2 linked regions of the Schizosaccharomyces pombe genome follow. The gene in region 1 interacts genetically with each later gene. Each region holds a gene or a part of one and is shown in the gene's direction. Other genes may lie near its edges.

Region 1 (7,363 bases):
TGGCAGAAGTAAACGTCGGTGAATTTAAATGCAGCATTAAACTTACAGTACCATAGAGCAATACACCCATTATGTCGCTGGGATTTGTGATTACTCTTTGAGCCGCCAGCTGGTACGCACAAATAAGTGCCATCTGCAAAGAGCTGGGAGTAAATTCATCGACAGGATCAAGCATACTGGGAGAAACTTCAATCACAAATAAAATGGCATATTTTCCAATTGCAAAATTCTTTAAACAATCGTCAGCATAATAATTTCAAAACACCTGCGTCTACCAGTCCATATTGGTCATACTTCTGTCTCATCTATTTGTTCATCGTTTTCCATGTAAAAAACAGATTATCAAAAACAATTTCCTTGGCTTTTTAAATACGACAAAAAGAAAAAAGAAGCACGCGTAATTATAAAAACGCTGATATTTTATGTAAACCGTCCGATGATAACGGCTAAAGCACACGAATGAAATAACTATTTCATTAGTATCTTAAATGTCAAATAATTTAATATATTGATATACCAATATGAGTTATTAAGCACCAATTCCAATATTTGAGAAAAATAATAAAATGCACAATGGTGTCAACATTCTAGTGGGTGTTTTACACGCACTGTGATTGTTGCGAATACGTTAAATTTAAAGAGCTCAAGTAAAGCCGTCGTAAGTTGCAACTAATATTAGTTCGTTATAGTTCATTTGTGTCGGCTACGCAGTTTGGTATCTGATTTAAAGATACGTAGAACTGCGGTGAGTTTTCCTTGTGATCTATTATATTACAATACACAGGTTGTATAAGTAGCAACTGAGTATAGGTATTGTATTAACTGGGTTATAATGTTACCTATCACTAATATAGCTCATAACTGAACTGAGGAACGAGGTTCAGCAGTAGCTCTATTTATAGTATTCAGATAATATACATATTAATAGATTTTAATTAAGATCAATATCAATATCGTATCATACATGGTACGATATATAATTAGAACATGTGACATATAGTGAAACGCAACGTAATATATCATAGCTTAGTGTAGTATTGCTGACAATTTGCGGTTTTGTTCGTAACGTGTGGAAGAAAAAAATAAAAAATGAGGTTTATGAACGATGAAAAGGACTAGATTTTTGATATAAAATTGATAATAGGTATACTTTTCTTAGTTATTGGAAGGATTAGTCACGGGTTTCAATTTGGCCTTTACTTCGACAACTGGTAACAAAAGATAAAACACAGAGACAGAGAATAAGCAACAATTAATAGTCAGTCTTAAGTCATTCCTTTTTCAGGCTGATTATTTTTTTTTGGTTTGAATGCTTCATCAATCTGTTTTTGCTCGAAATGCGATACAATATTTAGCTTTTTAATTCTTAAAACTTTTAACTTAAGGTAAGCGAAGTATATTGTTTTATAATTGTTTAGTGAACCATCGTGTAATTATACTCTTATCTTATTGAATGAATAACGATTCCTTGCATTTCATTATTAAGAAAATATACTCTACTATGTTTAAATGAATTTTTACCTGTGCAGCGTAAATTGCGTTTTCATCAAAAACAAATAATATTAACTACAGCATGGGACGTGGTGGTAAACGCACTTGGTACAATGGTGATCGTCGAGAAGCGAAAAGGAACCGACCTAATTCTATATACAATGGAGAAGGTCGGCCAGAGAATTTGGTAGTTGGAGAAAAAAAGCCGAAAAGAAAGGTCGCCTGTCTTGTAGGTTATTGTGGTAGCGGATATCATGGTATGCAATTGAATCCTCCTAGTAAAACAATCGAAGGAGATCTTTTTGATGCTTTTGTGAAGGCTGGTGCCGTTTCTTCTTATAACGCTGATGACCCAAAGAAAGTTGCTTTAGCAAGAGCCGCAAGAACTGATAAAGGAGTTCATGCCGCTGGAAATGTTATCAGTCTCAAACTTATAATGGAAGATGAGAAGTTAATTGAAAAAGTGAACGAACACCTCCCTCCTTCCATTCGCTTATGGGATGTGATCCGTACTATTAATTCTTTTAACCCAAGGACTTATTGCGAATCTCGTATATATGAATATATGGTTCCAACGTATGCTTTTGTTCCACCGAAACCTTCGTCCATACTTGGAAATTGCATTATGAAGAATTCTCCCATGCCTGCTGAGCCAATTAACAAGGAAAATATAAATCAACTCAGTCGTTCATTATTTTATGAAGAAGGAAAGGAATTTTGGGATGATTATGATATTGCAGCCAAAGAGATTTTGAGCCTTTATGAACAGGATCCTGAAGGCTTCGTAAATCCATATTCTAAAAGGGGAGCTGCTGCTCTTGCTAATTCGGAAAATAATAAGGGCTCTGAAGCAGGAGTTTCCGCTAAAACTAATCCAGATATGGATTCCGATTCCTCTGCTATTGTAAACGAGTTTTTAAAGCCTGACTCTGTTGAAGACGAATCTGCTGGTTCCAAGATTGATCCCAGTTATCGTCTCGAACGTGCACTTAAGCACATTGAAGTACTTAAATTAAAAAATTACCGTATTTCCGCAGATAGGCTGTCCGTTATTCGAGAAACTTTAAACCAATATGTTGGAGTTCATAACTTTCACAATTTTACTGTGGGGCAAGCATTTCATCAGAAGAATAGTAATCGCGTGATCCGTTCTTTTACTGTAAGTAAGAATTATCTTCTTTGTATTTATAGTATTCTTGACAAGTCTTGTTTCTAACATTCTAGGCATCTGATCCATTCATGATTGGCGATACAGAATGGATTTCATGTAAAGTTCATGGTCAATCTTTTATGTTGCACCAAATTAGAAAGATGATTGCGCTTGCTATTTTAGTTGTACGAACGGGTTGTCCTGTTGAGCGCATACAAGATGCCTTTAAAAAAACAAAAATTAACATACCCAAGGGACCTGGTTTTGGACTTTTATTAGAGTCACCGTTTTTTAAAGGTTATAATGAACATAAAGCTCCAGAGAATAATCGTGATCCTATCGACTTTACAAAGTACGAGCAAAAAATTACTGCTTTTAAGCATGCTCATATTTATGATAAAATTTTTCTCGAAGAAGCTCGTAAACAAGTGTAAGTATATTTTTTTCTTAAATTAACTAACCGGTTTAGATTTCATTGTTTTTTGTCTTTTATTGACAGTTATAATGAAGAAGATTTCAGTTATTTATCAGATATAGGCATTACTGAAAAGACGCAAGAGGTTTCCTCAAAATTGCCTGATGTTCTTTCTAGCGATGAAGAAGAAGATTCGGCTGAAAACAAGGATGATTTAGAGGGCTAAAGGATTGATTGTGAGACTGAGGATTTGCAACAAACTGATACCATAAACTTTGCTGTTTCTTTTAAAAAATTAGACTACAAACGTGTACATATATTTTTGGAGAATACTTGTTTCTTTCTTTTTTTTAGAATTGATTATTGGTTTTGGGTTCTATTGGTATTTTTATAGTTTATTAACTTCTACTTGATTATTCCAAATGTTAAGACCGTATGGTGCAATATACAAAATAAAAAATGAAAAAATTAATGAAATAGAAACTAGATGAACGGAGGAGAAAATTAAAAAGTCGAAAATGCGTGGTCAAGTAGACCAAAATGTAAACTATAATCTCATAAAGAATTTAAATCATCAACCGAAGCAAAATCAAAAGAATTTCTTTATAGTGGTTGGCGGGCACTAAAAGGAATCACTCGTCCCAATATAGTACCAGTAACTTGCATACCCTGCTCACCATGTCGAAATGCAGCAGCTATTAACTCTCTAGTACGAAAATACGAATGGCGACGTTTTACGGGTAAAAAAACTTTTTGCTCCAAAGGCTGATTGCCAGATTTCTGGAGAACATTCATAATGAAACTGACTTCTTCATCAGAATCAACAGGCGCTTGATGCTGATTATCTTCGGATTCTTTTGCAGTTTCGAGGATTTGTCGTTGTATTTTTACTTGGTTTTTCTTTTGACAAGCTGCAAGCAAAACATCGTATGGCTGAGATCTTCCCGGAACGGCTCGTTTGCTTGACATTGAATGCGTTTTACATGTGAGAGATCTGGCGCACATTTGCCCATTAGGAAGCAAAACACCGCATTGCTTTTCAACATCCACAGGACCTTAATTGAATGTTAGTATTAAAGTAAACAGGTACTCCATTCTCCATATTGAACAGCATAAACCAACATACCTTTGACCTTTGGATTCTTCTTCTTGCTAGCCTCTTTCTTGGGAAGGGCGGATTTTGTAGGCTTTTTGTTTTCTTCTGTCTTCCGACGTTTTGGAGGCATTTCAGGATTCTTTTGACCATTAACTGAATTCTTTTCATGATTCCCAGCTGAGCCCTTAGCTGTCGATTTAACACCATTTTTGATGGGTGCATTATTGCCATTGTTGACATCTTTGTTTAAAACCTGAGAATTCGCAACAGGCTCAAATTGAGGCTTAGGAGGTTTAATTCCATTGCATGAGCTATGATGGTCCTCAATATACTCTGATAGGAAGGGTCGGTCGCATTTTGTGCATACAACATAATCGAGTTCTGAATTGTTAGGATATGACCCATACTGAGGAAAGGAATCAGCAGGTAGTAAAATTTGAGTTTGATTCGTAATGTTAGAAGTTATTTCATCCTTTACCTGTGATTCTGTATTATCAACTCTTTGATCAGCGAGTACATCTTTGGGTAACCCATCCGGGTATTTCAACAAAACTTGCTCATTTCTTTCCCAATTTTCTGGAAATAACTCCAAAGTCTGTTGTTCTGTTAACATTTTATTGATAAGAACCGAGTTTATAAACAGAATTCTACAAAGTTGCCCTTTGTCAATTCCTTTGTAGTGGGACTAAATCTGTAAGTCAAGTGTATGTACGGTTTAATGCTTCCAGAAAGCAAAGTCTATAATTGCATTCTAATGAACTTTCAAAGGATTATGCTGACACATATCATTTCTGATAATTACTAAATTATACAGACATTGTCTTTAAGGGCTAGACTATGACTGACAAAAGAATTTTTGATCTTGGAATTGAGGACAAACTACGGATATCAATTTTGATTAACAATTCTATTTTTTTAGGTCCCTTGAGCTAAACATAGTTTATTATTAAGGTGCGCGCTTTTCCCGTTTTCTCGTACACTGCCAAGAATCCACAGATCATGAGGGTGAGTAATCATGAAATCCGGACTCCAAAAGTAGGCGGCTGAAAATAAAATACTGGCAGAATCATTTGCAAATAAAAAGATAGAATAAATAAGGAGAAATACTTAGTGAAATTCCAAAATTATTTGTTTTTTTTTACATCGTACCAAAACATCAAAAATTAAGGAGAGAAAAAAATAGAAAACGTGAAAATTAAGCTGAAAAATGCAGTAAGATTGTAGAAAGATTGAATTTCCAAGATGAAATGTTCCGCTGTTTATTTTCCGTAGATTTTACATATTGTTTGCTCAATTGAAGATTACAAACGATCGGAAAGTATGTTTTTTACAGAATCCCATGAAGAAGGAGAAAGTTTGTTTTTCAGTTCATCGTACGTACACCAAACCCAGTCATAAACGTTTTGCAGGTTAGGTACATCTAATCCATTTAATAAACGAGCACGTAACAAGAAGGTCTAGAAATAACTGGTTAAACAAAAAATCAACCCAGATAAAATGAGAACAAAAAATCCGTAGTCTTACCTTTTCTTGTTCCGTTTTTAGTAATGCTAATGGATGACGTGCAACTAGCCAAGTCAACGAATTTTCGTCTAATATATTTTTTAAAAGATCTTGACATAACTACAGTTTGTTAGAAAGGCCAATCTGCAGACTATGTAAACAAAAATTGCAAGAGTATTTGATAAATTATTTAGCATCAAATCAATAGTAAGTAGTCTCTTGCACTATATTGTGTATCTTGGAATCGAATTTTAAAAAATGTACTTACCAGATGCAGCGCCTTCTCGGAGCTTGTAACAGGAGTGTTAGGAAATTGCCAACCCGAGCTTTTAGATTTTTTTACCAACAAGTAAAGGGACTTGTCAAGCGAGCGAAGAGTGCTTCGCTCATCGTTTTTCGTATCAGCTTCTGTGACTCTGGATTGCAAGTGAGTTGCAGAATCCAATAATTTGTTAGACTCCATCTCTTTCCTTTCCTTTCCAAATATCGTCTCAAAGGGTGATTCTTTACCTTTTAGTGTTTTTTGTCGTTCTTGCCAATCTTTTTCACCCACCGATCCCTTCTTGAAATAAAATTCTGCAGGTAAAGGATCACTCAGCTCATTCCAAAGTTCCGCATTATATTTATATATAGATTTTTCGAATTCGGATGGTTGGCGAGTAAGAATTGGCGATCTAATTAAAATTGTACCCACTGAACAACCTAAGATATGTTAGCAATCATGTACATCAAAGGTAATTTTTTTATTTATATTTAATATCCCTAGATAATTCATTTTCATTTTTTAATTCTGTACCTTTTAGAGGAGTCGAGTTAGACAAGGGTTTAGAGGATTGAATGGAATTTCGTACAGAAATGTGAAATTGACGCGAAAAAGACCTCTGCATATTTATAATATTTCTCTTCAAGTACATTGTTTAAACTTAGTCAATTTACGCCAAGTAAATCTCCAAATTTCGGCTTTGTTTACTAATCCGGTAAAGACCACTTGGTAAAGGCAATCGACGTTTCGCTATGGCTAGCACTACCACCTGTTTTACCAGCGTACATTACACGCTTCGTTAAGTACTGTAATATTTCTTAGAGACTCTGTTGCTATCGTTAATATGTTTTAATAGATTTCTTTGGATTTCGTTATAATTCAATTTAACTCACTTAGAATGGGGAATTGCTGACGCAGTAAACCTTTCAATCCCCATAACAATGTCTGCTTCCGTCGAATTAAAACGTAAGAAATTTGGCTAAATTCTTCTAACGTGTGGATAGCTACAGAGAAGTTCAGTAAATTTCTCGAGGAGTACTCTTCGGTACCGGTTCGCGCCGCCATTATTAGCATTTCTAATGGTAAGTTTCCATTCGGGCTAGAAGAGTAAATTTTAAGTTAGTTGAAGTTACTAAATGATTTAGAGAATTCATTTGACGTGAAAACAATGGTTGAAAAATCAGAATCGATAGAATCTGATTTTAAGAAAGTCCGTGAATGTTTGCTCGGATCTGAAGAACCTGCATTTGTCCTCGTTTATGATGATAGCAAGAAAAATCTATTACAATTAATTTCCTATGTCCCTGAAAATGCGAATGTTCGCAGGAAGATGTTATATGCCTCTAGTCGTGCTGCATTTGTAAGATGCGTAACTCTTGCTAAACTCGACGAGTCTTATTTCGCAAGTACTCCGGAAGAGTTAGATTATCAGCAAATTATGAAGAG
Region 2 (5,990 bases), on another chromosome or scaffold:
GTAGACAAGACCCTCAGGACCAACAACATCAGCAACGTGAGAAACGGATGTACCGTTAGCAGCACCAAGATATAAAACACGTGCACCAGGTTTAATATAGATGTTGTCTAAACCGCCCAAAATACCTGCGGCAAGTTTAGAACGGAAAGGATTCCATACACGGTATTCAACTTTGGTACCATCTGGGGAATCAACGCTAATACGTTTTTCATTGTATACTGATTCACCAGGCACCAGATTGCGGGTGACAAGCAAATCTTCTTTTCCGCGAGCAATGAAGACACCTGCATGACGATGAGGCTCAATAATAACTTTAGCACCTCCTTTGGCTCCACCACGGCCACCGCTAGAACCACCGCGGCCTCCTCTGGCACCTCCACGACCGCCACGACCGCCACGAGCACCACCGCGTCCTCCTCCTCTGGCACCTCCACGGCCACCGCCGAAACCACCACGGCCACCATTGAAACCACCACGGCCTCCTCTAGAGCCACCTCGTCCACCTCTTGAACCTGGTGTATATGCCATTATTTTTTTTTGTGGTAGGTAATGGGTCTGTAAAATTTTTAGGATAGCAGAGAGGATTACAGTTGGTGTGACTACGAACACAATTCTGCAACGCTAAAAATTTTTACGAGTTCGAAACAATCTGTAAAACCTCTAGTTAACGAAGGTAAACAACGCTAAAGCTAACTTAATGACATTAGTAGCATCGCAGTGTTATTATTTGCAGCTCATAACTTCTCATTAGTAAGGTAAACATATGTAGCAAAAGATGGGTTCCTGCTGTTTGAAAAGCAATTGTTTTAGGTCTCAGCAACAAATTAGAGGTATTCAATATAATTCTTTTGAAAGATTGGTGAAGAGAATGAATAGACATCTCTACTTGTGTTCATATAATAATTACGTTTTGACAATCGAAGTAACTAAACTTAGAGTTACAAGAGGTAGTGATTTATTGTCAGAACCGTTATTAGTTGTAGTTCTTCCAACCTAGTACTAGTTCTTATACCTTATCATATAAACTCGGTGTGAGCTAACAATGCACTTAAAGATTGTTAATTAATGTACGAACAGATCTAGCTTTGACGTATAAAATAAATAGAAAAAGCTATTGCAGATAGTTATAGTAATAGCCGCTTACTTTTTGCTGGCTGTCCGCATTATCATTTTAGAAAAGCAAATGCTAATAAATAACACCACAGCTTCAAATAATGCGCGTACTAACCTAATACTAGCTATTAAAAAAGGAACCATGTAAGTAGAATATACTCACAGAATGATAAAAAATTACTTAGTATATTTTTTATACCTGCATTGGAAAAAAAAATTCAAAATTTAAAAAGACAAGAAAACAAATTGAAATTTTAAAGACAAATCCTAACTTAGATCCGCTTATTAAATATTTTATAGGATACTACGACGTAAATCAACATTTTAATTTTTTAAGCCACAATAAACTTACCAAACTATAAGCGAAATTATCATTCAGCGTCAATTTCTCATTTTTGCTCACATTGAACTTACTCATAATCTAACGAACACAATATAAATATCAATCACTAATTTCGCTACTCAAAATTTCTTCGTCATCTGAAGACAGATCCTCCTCATCAGTATATGCGTCTTCAGAGTCTTCTTCATCCATTTGGTTAAAATCGCTCAAGTCACCTTCTTCTAAGAAACAGTCAATTGCCAAGGGTATGATTTGATCTTTAAAGACTTCTCCCAATTGATAGTCGAGTTCTAAAAGCTCTGTTTTGTCATCCAAACCATCATCAGATTCATCATCGTCCAACTGAGGAGGTGAGAAAAAGTTGAAAAAACTGTCATTAGGGACCGTAGTACGGACCAATCTAGTTTGATTTGTTTTACGGTTACGTTGTTTTTTTGTCTCCACTCTAACCGTTAAATTTTTTTCAGGCTTGATCCAATTAATCTTATCACCCTCAGCATGATCATACAAAAACTCACCCGAAGGACTTAAATCATCTTTATAGTAATAAGTTTTCGTTAAAATCTTGTTTGTAAAGTAATCATTTGAGTCAAATTCGAATTCTAGTTTGTAACCATGAACATCTCCCGAAAGGTTGGTAAAACGAATGTCGCTGAGTGATCGCAAGACATTTTCATCTTCTGGTGTTATCATTTCGCCAACCAAGAAAACATTATGAAGACAAGTCAGCCAAAATTCGGGAATTCCCTTAGGATCTGGAAGATTATTTTGAAATATTTCTTCCTCGTGATCTAATTCGTCGTCCACTGGTTCAGAAACACCCTTGATAATTTCGGCTCTTCTAGAGAAAATAGGTTGATATTTTTTCTCGTATTTTGTTTCCAGATCTAACATTTTTTGACGAAATTCATATTGAATTGCATCACAATCTTTTTGAAGGCCTTTCAATGCTGTAATACGATTTTGGACTGCTGGCGCAAGGCTCTCTATATATCCCGACGACTTTCCAACCAACGAGCTAAGGCGTCCCTCAATCATTGATAACATGGCCGGATTGTTGCGCAATAACCCGCTAACTTCATCATGTGCTGATTTGTCCTCCAGTTGTGATTGCAAGGTTTGTCTAGCTTTTTCTAATGCGGCCTTACTAAGATGTACATCTGAAGATGGAGTATTTTGTGGCGTTTGAGCAGCAAACCCATTCCAAGACTTCTTAAAATCTCCTGGACCTTTAGACATATTTTAATAATGCAAACGGAGATTAAATTAAATTGGTAAAGCTTCGTTGTTGGACTGTGGATCTTCGTGAAGTCTACCAAAGAGATGTTGGGCCTGACTCGTTATTGCAGCTTAGCATATTTTAATGATATGTTTACAGCATTTTTCGTATGAGAGTCTTTAATGAAATATATTTATGTGTTTAGCGGCTATCATAGTTTGGGATAGTATTTGGGGTTTTATTTGGAAGAATATGTAAAATTAGAAAGCATCCGGAAGTTTACATATACGTTGACTTTTTTCTCTCCGCTTTCCTTATACTTTCTCTGACAAAGGTAATGGATTGTATAAACCAAAGGCGCTGCTTTCAAATTCTGATGTAGCTGTCCAAATAGCTAAAAAAAAAATCAATGAAATAAACAAATGTATATATCTCGTTTAAGCAAAGTGTCTACGCTATTCATATTAGTTTAACATATGTATCGTATCCCAATTATTAGTTGAAAATTCTATAAAAAATATATATATATGGATACTGATTAATAAACAACTCTACGTATCATATACTTCTATATTCATGAGTTAAACAACCTTATTGTAGCATTTGTTTACTAGTTAGTTGCCCACGGAGGAGCGAAAAACTATCGGAACATAATTCAAAAGTCAAACTTGTAAATAAAAATCTGCTATTGTAACGGTCATTGCTAACTTAAATAAACAAATCATAATTAATATATATAAATTTATTAGCGATCGTTCTGTAAATAAATAGAAAATGAGAATGAATAATCCAACAGAAAAATATATATATATATAGTAAATTAAAGAATAAAGAATAAACTAATACACTGTATTGAGTACTAATGGACTTGGAAACGAGGTAAATGTTTCACTCACAACACTTTCAAACAAATGAAATATTTTCTTACATTAAATTTTAGGTTCAAATAAACCAAACTGTTTTGCTTTTTAGATTTTTCATTCACATTTTATGATAAACAATGCGATGATACCAAATAATGTTACTTGTGTATGGTGTTTGTTTGCTACCTTGACAATTATTCTCTGATGCAACGTTTTTTCAAAGAGGTTTTCATTACTATACATTTACCCACTACGCCAAATTTGCTTTGAAAATGAATTTGACATTCAAAAATCTACAGCAGCAGAAATTTGTTATTTCTGATGTTTCTGCAGATACCAAAGTATGATAATTGTGGCATATTATTTTTCTAACGTAAACAGATTTCAGAATTAAAAGAAAAAATTCAAACGCAACAGAATTATGAAGTCGAACGTCAAAAGTTAATTTACTCAGGTATATAACATAATTTTAATATGTAAAATACTAATTTATAGGTCGAATCCTTGCTGATGACAAAACTGTTGGCGAATACAATATAAAAGAACAGGATTTCATTGTATGCATGGTTTCACGACCCAAAACTTCCACCTCTACTCCGAAATCAGCTGCCAGTCCTGCCCCCAATCCTCCGGCTTCCGTACCTGAAAAGAAAGTTGAAGCTCCTTCTTCTACCGTGGCGGAATCTACCTCTACTACACAAACTGTTGCTGCTGCTGCCCCTTCAAACCCAGATACTACTGCCACTAGTGAAGCACCAATAGACGCCAACACATTGGCAGTTGGTGCTCAACGAAATGTTGCTGTCGAAAATATGGTAGAAATGGGATACGAACGCAGCGAAGTTGAAAGAGCCATGCGTGCCGCTTTTAACAACCCTGATCGGGCAGTGGAATACTTATTAACTGGTATTCCCGAAGACATTCTCAATCGACAGAGAGAAGAGAGTGCTGCAGCCCTTGCTGCTCAGCAACAGCAAAGCGAAGCCCTTGCTCCTACTTCCACTGGCCAGCCAGCGAATCTTTTTGAACAAGCTGCTTTATCAGAAAATGAAAATCAAGAACAACCTTCTAATACCGTTGGTGATGACCCTCTAGGCTTCCTTCGTAGCATTCCTCAATTTCAACAGCTAAGACAAATTGTTCAACAAAATCCACAGATGTTGGAAACTATATTGCAACAAATTGGGCAGGGAGATCCTGCATTGGCTCAAGCTATTACGCAAAATCCTGAAGCATTTTTGCAATTATTGGCGGAGGGTGCCGAAGGCGAGTCTGCCTTACCTTCTGGTGGAATTCAGATTCAAATTACTCAAGAAGAATCTGAGAGTATTGATAGAGTATGTTATTTCTATTTTTTTGTTTTAACTATCTAACAAGCTTTTAGTTATGTCAACTTGGCTTCGACAGAAACATTGTAATTCAGGCTTATTTAGCTTGTGATAAAAATGAAGAGGTGTGTTTTTTTTTTTTTTTTGATTTATTGAATTATCAACTAACAATTGTAGCTTGCTGCTAATTACCTTTTCGAGCATGGACATGAATCTGAGGATGAACCTTAAAGCGCGCACCTTATAAATTATTGCTTTTCGCTTGAAAAACGCCTAAATGGCAACTAATTCAGCTCTTTATTGCTAGCATTTAGTTAAGGATACGGAATATTAAACAAAACAATGATATTTTTGTAATTGTTGAGTACAGGGTTGCTCCGAGCACAGCACATAAGTTGTTTTCAATCATTTGTCGTACATGTAAATATTATATATATACATATATATATTTTTTTTCCCTACTATTTTATTTGATAGAACCATATTTTTCTTTCTCTAATACTGAATTGTCATTACGCTTAGGGTTTTTGCATAAGATATCAAGTAGGAAGAAGTCAAGTGACTTAAGTGGTCTAATTTCCACGCTCAACGCTGCAGAAATACGTTTTTGATAATTTTTTATATTTTTCTTAAAATGTGACGATATTATAATTAATGTCGCAACAACTTTCAAGTAATGAAATTTGTGAAGAGCAGGGAAAGCTCGTCAAAGCGCTGTGTGAAGCAGCTCAAGGAGGTTTTAAGCATGATTTATATGAGAAAATTATAGCAATTGAAATTGAAGTTGAGAAGAAACTGTTAAATCGTCTAAAAAGTATTCAAACAAATACTTTTGAACGTCCAGATATTATATGGTCATGTTGCCATTATAAAATTATTCAACATTTTAGAAGTAGGTTTAGAGAGGTGAGTAAAAACTAAAGTATGGGACAATTATTAATTTTAAGATACATCCTCGACACGTTGTTGAAAAAAAAAAGACAAAAAAGGTTTTCTTTAAATTCTTGAAAACGTGTGCAATCTTTTACCAGACTTGCATAAGTGAACTAATATCTAAGTTCCAATTGGATTCATACAGACCGTTTTTTTGTAAATGGACATCATCAGCTACTGTTTCTTCGACT

Evidence for each region. Genes that interact genetically often act in the same process or in processes that back each other up.
Region 2: mutations in pus1 (region 1) and rhp23 are lethal when combined (synthetic lethality), as found in Schizosaccharomyces pombe (one study listed by BioGRID).

Annotation. Positions count from the first base shown.
Region 1 is NC_003421.2:2,119,092-2,126,454, forward strand, and holds pus1 (tRNA/U2 snRNA pseudouridine synthase Lsp1), read left to right. Parts: upstream 1-1,523; 5' UTR 1,524-1,573; coding exon 1,574-2,650; intron 2,651-2,715; coding exon 2,716-3,071; intron 3,072-3,110; coding exon 3,111-3,282; 3' UTR 3,283-3,539; downstream 3,540-7,363. Other genes in the region: Ku domain protein Pku70 , read right to left, coding at 47-229, 295-327; SAGA complex deubiquitinating submodule subunit Sgf73, read right to left, coding at 3,660-4,111, 4,183-4,765; mrpl17 (mitochondrial 54S ribosomal protein mL46), read right to left, coding at 5,454-5,609, 5,677-5,775, 5,924-6,357, 6,452-6,569; twf1 (twinfilin), read left to right, coding at 6,859-6,883, 6,922-6,999, 7,063-7,363. UniProt on the Schizosaccharomyces pombe protein: Formation of pseudouridine at positions 27 and 28 in the anticodon stem and loop of transfer RNAs; at positions 34 and 36 of intron-containing precursor tRNA(Ile) and at position 35 in the intron-containing tRNA(Tyr).
Region 2 is NC_003423.3:2,983,154-2,989,143, forward strand, and holds rhp23 (UV excision repair protein rhp23), read left to right. Parts: upstream 1-3,775; 5' UTR 3,776-3,810; coding exon 3,811-3,879; intron 3,880-3,915; exon of another isoform or gene 3,916-3,919; coding exon 3,920-3,992; exon of another isoform or gene 3,993-4,033; coding exon 4,034-4,875; exon of another isoform or gene 4,876-4,922; coding exon 4,923-4,991; exon of another isoform or gene 4,992-5,043; coding exon 5,044-5,097; 3' UTR 5,098-5,336; downstream 5,337-5,990. Other genes in the region: fib1 (fibrillarin, rRNA and histone methyltransferase), read right to left, coding at 1-528; nucleosome assembly protein Nap2, read right to left, coding at 1,556-2,695; telomerase regulator Est1, read left to right, coding at 5,521-5,772, 5,814-5,990. UniProt on the Schizosaccharomyces pombe protein: Involved in postreplication repair of UV-damaged DNA. Postreplication repair functions in gap-filling of a daughter strand on replication of damaged DNA.